Danio rerio: one gene and its partner. The protein of the gene in region 1 purifies or fractionates together with the protein of each later gene. This does not show direct contact. Links are inferred from orthologs where the notes say so. Each region holds a gene or a part of one and is shown in the gene's direction. Other genes may lie near its edges.

What was found. The genes of interacting proteins can lie anywhere in the genome.
Region 2: the proteins of hnrnpdl (region 1) and hnrnpua purify together in Homo sapiens (affinity purification with mass spectrometry; 3 studies listed by BioGRID and IntAct, with this or other methods). This does not show direct contact. The link is inferred for Danio rerio from reciprocal best matches to the Homo sapiens genes HNRNPDL and HNRNPU.

The regions. Positions count from the first base shown.
Region 1 is NC_133185.1:5,496,226-5,500,454, reverse strand, and holds the start of hnrnpdl (heterogeneous nuclear ribonucleoprotein D-like), read left to right. Parts: upstream 1-1,429; 5' UTR 1,430-1,566; coding exon 1,567-1,655; intron 1,656-3,222; coding exon 3,223-3,391; intron 3,392-3,479; coding exon 3,480-3,641; intron 3,642-3,774; coding exon 3,775-3,906; intron 3,907-4,229. Other genes in the region: enoph1 (enolase-phosphatase E1), read right to left, coding at 1-69. UniProt on the Homo sapiens protein: Acts as a transcriptional regulator. Promotes transcription repression. Promotes transcription activation in differentiated myotubes. Binds to double- and single-stranded DNA sequences. Binds to the transcription suppressor CATR sequence of the COX5B promoter.
Region 2 is NC_133192.1:12,679,454-12,682,953, reverse strand, and holds part of hnrnpua (heterogeneous nuclear ribonucleoprotein U), read left to right. Parts: intron 1-916; coding exon 917-1,036; intron 1,037-2,508; coding exon 2,509-2,637; intron 2,638-2,726; coding exon 2,727-2,895; intron 2,896-3,500. UniProt on the Homo sapiens protein: DNA- and RNA-binding protein involved in several cellular processes such as nuclear chromatin organization, telomere-length regulation, transcription, mRNA alternative splicing and stability, Xist-mediated transcriptional silencing and mitotic cell progression.

The DNA.
Region 1 (4,229 bases):
GGGCGTCGTAGTTCCTTCAATGTCCAGAAGAAAGACTCTGGTGTTTTCTGGTATTGCAATCGCTGCCATTTTTTATCAATGGCAAACGATGTATATGTGTGGTAAAGTCTCGTGTTTTGTTCGATTCTGTCGGATGCGAGGCTCAGATTTTGACAAATCAATCAATAATAGCACGCAGGCTAGCGGCGAGCTAACACATGGAGCGGTTAGGGTTGCCAGGTTCTGCGCAGAAAAGTCTCCACCCTCTGTCATCATGTCAGCATAGATTTTAGGTAATTATGCGTTTTATTTGCAATACATTTGATTTTTAATCGTGAATATATGCATGTAAATTTTATATTTATATTTAACATAGTGGACTACAACTCAATAATTAACAGAAATTGATAATAATAATAATAATGATAATGATAATAATAATAGATTTTAGAAAACAATACACAATTACCATTTTAGCATCTATCTGCTGTTTCCAGTTATTAAATCTATCTGTTGTTTAGAATTACGACGTGTAGCCCGTATTAGATTTTATTTTTGTTTTCCATCTGGCAACCCTGCTGCTGGGATGGGTGAGGAAGTAAATAAGCTAAAAATAACTGTAAAATTGTTTACCTATCGCATAAAGTTTATTCATTTGTGTATTCTGAATATCAAAATTGTTTTGAAAAAACACAGTAGCACCTGCATAGTGTTCGGGCAGACGTTATTTTGTGTAATTTGCACAATTTTTAATTTTATCAATGTCTAATTGTACGTACAAGATATTTTAATATAAATAAAATAATTTATATTTGTAGCTATTATAAAACAAAATCTTCTGGAAGTGCATTAAAGTGGATTTAAAATCTTATTATGATTATTACACATTATAATACATCATTATACATATTTGTAAGCATTTGTATTAGTATTGTGGATGCCTGTGGTTTATCTTTTAAAAAATATATGTATTTATGTCGCTCCTTTAATATATTTATAATTTTCATGCTATTGTTATTTATGTTTTTTTTTTTGTACAAATATATACCTATGCTGTGTTTGCATAAAATATTAAATAAACTATACGGGTCTTGTTCATATGAGTACATTTTCATAGTTTCATTATGAATTATTTTCCTGTTTTGTTTCCAACTTTCATTTTTGCGTCGTCTATGGGGCAGGGCGACCAAACCAAGCCAGTTTGAACTACAAATCAGTGTATTTAATGCAATAGTTTAAAATAATATTGTAAGAAATGACATTTTTCACTATCAAACTAGAGCAAAGGAGGATGTGACAAGGAACACGATAATTTTATAAACTGTCTAATGTTGTCACTAGGTAATATAATTGAATGAAACGTAAATAAACACAAAAGTAAATAAACAAATAAATGTATTTGCATAAGCTCCGCCCACTGCCTCTCTTTCTCGTGCAGACGGATTTCGTCACTGATCTCCGTCCGTCCGCCATTTTAATCAACGCGGCACTTTATTCGTGTTGAAGTGTTTGACCTTTTAAAACCGGCGTAATATAATCTATAATATATATCTCGCGGAGGATCAAAATAACTACACATACTTCAAAATGCAGGCCGAAGAGCAAGGTGACTTTAGCACCGATGAGTTTCCCGAAGGCTCCAAAATAAACGCGAGTAAAAACCAGGAGGATGACGGGTGAGTCCCGGAGAGCGGCCTGCCTGCGACACCCCGCTAAGAGACACTAGTGCAGGCAGACGCCGGTCTGCTTCATCTTTAAACGACTAATTCAAATGGAATACGTTTTTAAAATGTCTACGTTATTAATATGCACAACATAAAGCTTAAAGACGCCTAGAATCTTGTTGTTCATTACGTACCCGTTTGCAGATTAGCATCTAACTTAATGGCTTGGCGTCCAGTTTGTGCGTAATATTATTAACGTTTATAACGCTTTCAAAATTGCTATAACATATAACATACGCATCGGAAGAATAGTTATGTCATAAAACATGCATTTATTTTGAAATGAATGTAATATAAGTTATTTAATACCTTTGGAAATTTGTGGGAGGGAAAAGGGTAACGTTTAACGTTACTGTGTTTTTATCATGCTAATTATTAATTTAAATTTTCAAATTCATCATTAATACCTACTAAATTGTACTTCTTTGGGATATCAGATTACGTACGAATCGTAATTAAGCTATAAATTCACGATTTACTCGAATATTATACATTTATGAAATATAATAACATTTATTCTGAGAATTACTAATACTAAACGCAATGGAATTTAATCAAATAGCTGTGACTGAGTTTATAATTGAAGGGCCAGACAGAATCTGCAGGCCTTTTTGCTATTTCTTGAGATAATTTGTAAAAAAAAAATTTGCAGATTTAATATGCATAATGGTTTTGGTAGTATCATAACTAAAAAAAACTTAATATATTAAATTAAAAGTAGTACCTTTTTAACTTTTATTTAATGTTTACAATGCAAATCCAATCAGATCCACTTATTTGGTAAACAAAGCAAGCCTCTTGTTTAATATATCTACTAAAAGACTAAAATATATTATTTCATAAACTGTATTGTAAATAAATCAATTGCACCTTTTTAAATTAGTTAATAATATCTCTGAAATTCATTTATTATCCCTGAATTTAATTTAAAAACGGAATATATATAAATTTACACGTTTATACAAGTAAATAAATATACTTAATGATGGGCTTAAAAAATGAACGCGCAGATTTCGTGTGGGCCTACTCATAATTCTTCGAAAGTCCAAACTCGCATATTGATTTCATTCTAAACAACAAAACGATTCCATTCTGAGGTCCTTTCAAACACTATATCACATTTTACTTGCATTTAATATTTATTTTAATGAATAATAATAATATTATAAAACATTTTACACACTGTGATACTTGCATAACAATTACCAACATGGCTTTAGCGTTTTTTTAATGTATGAAAAGGGTAAATATATATTTTACAAAACTTTTAGTAACTAATATAACTGCATAGATTATTTTATGAAGTAATTCTAAATAATTGTACTTTGGGAAGCCTAAAACATCTGTCAGATTTAGTTCTTCTAGTAAATATATACATATTTTTTAATTCAAAGGTTTATAATTTGTATTTAAGTGAAAGTACTGAGCTTAAAAATAAAACCGGTTTATTATGTTACAGTAGATGGTAATGCATTGTTAATTCAGTGACGTGATTTGAATCTTGTTTGTTTTGGTGTAGGAAAATGTTCATTGGTGGACTCAGTTGGGACACCAGCAAGAAAGACCTCACTGATTACCTGTCCAGGTTTGGAGAGGTCCTCGACTGCACCATCAAAACAGACCCATTGACCGGCCGCTCCAGGGGCTTTGGATTCGTGCTCTTCAAAGATGCTGAGAGCGTGGACCGGGTATGCGAGCCCTTGTCAGTCATTGTGTATGATGCAAATATATGAACAAAAGTTTGCTCATAGCTGTTTCTTGATGGGTTGTTTTTAGGTGTTGGAGTTGACGGAGCACAAGCTGGATGGTAAATTAATTGATCCCAAGAGAGCCAAAGCCATCAAGGGCAAGGAACCCCCTAAGAAGGTTTTCGTTGGTGGTCTCAGTCCAGACATTACTGAGGAACAGCTCCGGGAATACTTCGGAGTTTATGGGGAAGTGAGTGACTTGAATTCAAATCTGTACGAGAGCTAATATTTCACATAAAAAAGGAAAGGAATGTATATTTTTTGGAAGTAGGGCCCACAAACTGGTACTTTTAATCCAATCTGTATTTTTTTTCTCTCAAAAGATTGAAAGCATCGAGCTTCCCACAGACACCAAGACGAATGAGCGACGGGGATTCTGCTTTGTGACATTCGCTTTAGAAGAGCCTGTTCAGAAACTGCTGGAGAACAGATACCATCAAATCGGATCAGGGAAGGTATGTTGATGACAAAAATATGATGCATCAAATCAGTTTAGTAAATAAAACAGGGCTCAACAATAAGGACTGCCCGGTGGCCCGGGGCCAGCGTGCGAGGCGCTCTGGACAGTAGACAGAATTGTTACTGGCCCGATTCGTAGTGCCTTGTCACAAAAGTTCAATTCGTCTGCGACTATTTGTCAATTGCATATGAATACAGTCTTAGAATCGAGAAACAGTTTGTGCTTGTAAGCCTTTAAATGCTGCCTTCTCAGTGATGTCGTAAACACCATGTTGCTTTTCGGTTCCTTTTATCTGATTGGATGTTGTGAGCATGTCGT
Region 2 (3,500 bases), on another chromosome or scaffold:
GCCAAAAGTCTTGTGCAGAGCTGGCCTAACTAGATTAATTGGGTTAACTAGGCAAGTCAGTGGATAACAGTGGCTTGTTTTTATAGTGAATCATAAAAGAGGGCTAATATTATGGAATTAAGTTATCAATATTTTTTTATTGCAGGCAAAAGACATAAGACTTTTGCCTAGATATATATAATTTATATTAAATAATATATATATTTTAAAGAGTTTAAGTTTCACAGGAGGGCTAATAATTTTTTCTTCACGTATATGCTGGTGAAGTGTGGATTTATGGCTCAGTTCAAATGAAAAAAAACTCATTTTGATCTAACAGCCTGTTTGCAATACACAATTTAATTACAATATGAAGGCATAAATTGATAAAGTGCTATAAAACAAACACTTGTATTTTGTATGTTCTCTTTCTGGTGGCTCAGTGGTTAGCACTGTGGCCCCCTTCAAGAAGATCGCTAGTTAAAGTCCTGGCTGAGTCGGTTGGCATTTCTGTGTGGAGTTTGCATGTTCTCCCCATGTTGGCGTGGGTTTCTTGCCTGTGCTTCGGTTTCCATCACAAGTCCAAAGGTGTGTGGTATATGTGAATTGGATGAACTCAACTGCCTGAAGTTTATGAGAATGTGTGCGAATGCAAGAGTGTATGGGTGTTTCCCTTTAACCGGTTGCGGCTGGAAGGGCATCTGCTGCATAAAACATATGCCGGAATTGTTGGCGGTTCATTCCGCTGTAGTGACCACTGATAAATAAGAAACTTAGCCGAAGGAAAATGAATGGTTTCTTTTTATTAGACTGATGAAATAGCCTTTATATAAGCCACATGTGTATGAAATAGTGTTTTGTTGTTGTTGTTTTATATATAAAATCAGTGAAATCTGTGAAAATCATAAACACTGAAATCCTCTGCAAATCCTCTCAGGTCATTGTGGTGGTCGGACTGCCTGGATCTGGAAAAACGGAGTGGGTCACAAAGCACACAGAAGCCAATCCTGGAAAATACAACATTCTGGGGACGGACACAATCCTAGAGAAGATGATGGTGAGTGTTAACAGACGACAATGCATCTCATTCACTAAACATGCGTGCGCACACATTTTGCATGAAATGTGTGTGTGGTAATTTTACATCATGATTTATCAACATTTTTCTTAAATTTATTGTAGATGTACATTAAAAGGTTCGCCTGAACCTTATAAACATGTATAAAACTACATATAATTAGATACATTATTTACTGGGTGGATAAAAAATAACTAGATGTTAAATATTGATAATACAGTATACCTTCACCGGCCACTTTATTAGGTACACCTTACTAGTATCGGATTGCATCCCCTTTTGCTTTCAGAACTGCTTTATTCCTTCATGGCTTAGATTTAACAAGGTACTGGAAAATTCCAATGAGATTGTGGTCCATATTGACAAGATAGCATCACGCAGCTGCTGCAGATTTGTCGGCTGCACATCCATGATGCAAATCTCCCGTTCCACCACATCCCAAAGGTGCTCTATTGGGTTGAGATTTGGTGAATGTGGAGGCCATTTGAATACAGTGAACTCGTTGTCTTTTTCAAGAAACCAGTCTGGGATGATTTGCGTTTTATGACGTGGTGCGTTGTCCTGCTGGAAGTAGCCATCAGAAGATGGGTACACTGGTCATAAAGGGATGGACATGGTCAGCAACAATACTCGTGTAGGCTGTGGCGTTGACACGTTGCTCAATTGGTACTAATGGACTAATGGTGTGCTCAGAGATGCTCTTCTGCATACCTCGGATATAACAAGTGCTTATTTCAGTTACAGTTGCCTATCTATCGGTTCAAACCAGTCTGGCCATTCTTCTCTGGCATCAACATGGCATTTGCACCCACAGAACTGCTGCTCGCTGGATATTTTCTCTTTTTCAGATCATTCTCTGTAAACCCTAGAGATGTTTGTGTGTGAAAATCCCAATAGATCAGCAGCTTCTGAAATACTCAGACCATCCCATCTGTCACCATCAACCATGCCTTGTTCAGAGTCACTTAAATCCCCTTTCTTCCCCATTCTGATGCTCGGTTTGAACTGCAGCAGATCGTCCTGACCATGTCTACATGCCTAAATGCATTGAGTTGCTGCCATGTTATTGGATAATTAGAAATTTGCGTTAGCGAGTAGTTAGACAGGTACGCCTAATGAATATGTAGTTCTTTTCCTTTGTCTTTTTTTTTTGATGCCATATTTGTCTTTTTCCGGATGAGTGCCTCTTTGCTTAAAAGCCTTTATATGTAGTTGGTTTGGGCGTGTATTATGCAAATTATTAACCTAGTTTACACAGGCACTCACAAGACTCCAAATTCACTAGCAGAAGAAGGAGTTTAAGAACAAGCTTGTGTGTGTAGGTCTGTGTTGTGAATTGAGCAGTAATTTTTTTGAGTGGTTCAAACGTGTGTATGAATATGAAAACATACACATGCAATGTATTATTACAAAAATTACATTACCGATGTGTTTTTGATGTTTCGATTCAGATTTCCACGCTGAAACGACAGATGAAAGACGTGACAAAGCTCTTAGAGATTTCCCTGCGTGCTCCTCTGTTTCTGGGTAAATTCATTGAGATCGCAGCACGGAAAAAACGCAACTACATTCTCGATCAGGTGAATAAACTAAGTGTCATATTAAACTATACAGTAATCTCTGCACCCTGTACGTGTGACGTTAAGTTCATTGTTGTATTTTCGTTTAGACCAATGTTTCAGCTTCAGCCCGGAAAAGGAAAATGTGCCTGTTTGCCGGGTTTCAGCGTAAAGCAGTGGTCGTCTGTCCGACAGATGAGGAATATAAAAAGAGGACGCTGAAAAAAGCAGAAACTGATGGCAAAAAAGTACCTGAACAGGCAATCAGAAAAACCAAGAGTAAGATCTTTGCTTCAAGCTGAACTTGATCTAAATTGTGTGCAATATTGTTGTTTTAGCATCATGTATTATCTGTAAATTGTAATGCTGTTTATTAGGTGCTTTATTATGATTGTATTTATTTATTTATTTAGTTTGTTGACACTTATTTATTCACACTTAATTGGTTTAGGTTTTAATAACTCTTCTGTTGTATGCTTCTATCGTAATTTTGTTAGTTTTGATATATATATATATATATGTGTGTGTGTGTGTGTGTGTGTGTATAATTACGTTTTTGAATCTGTATTTTTGTTTTTGATTTTATACATTTCCTACTTATAAAAACTAAATTTAGTTTTAATTATCATTAATTATTTTAATGATCAAAATTTGTTATAAAATCAAAATTAATAAAAAAACAAAAACAAATTAAACTTAATTTATTAAATTAAGAACAATCTATCTAATATTTGTAATATTTACATTACATATTGTTTTAGTTTATTTTACACGGGCATGGTTAGGAGGCCAGTGGGCCAAATTGGCCAGAACACTTTTGTTTGTTTGTTTGTTTGTTTGTTTGTTTGAAAGACATTCTGGGATTTTTAAACTCCACGTTAAGG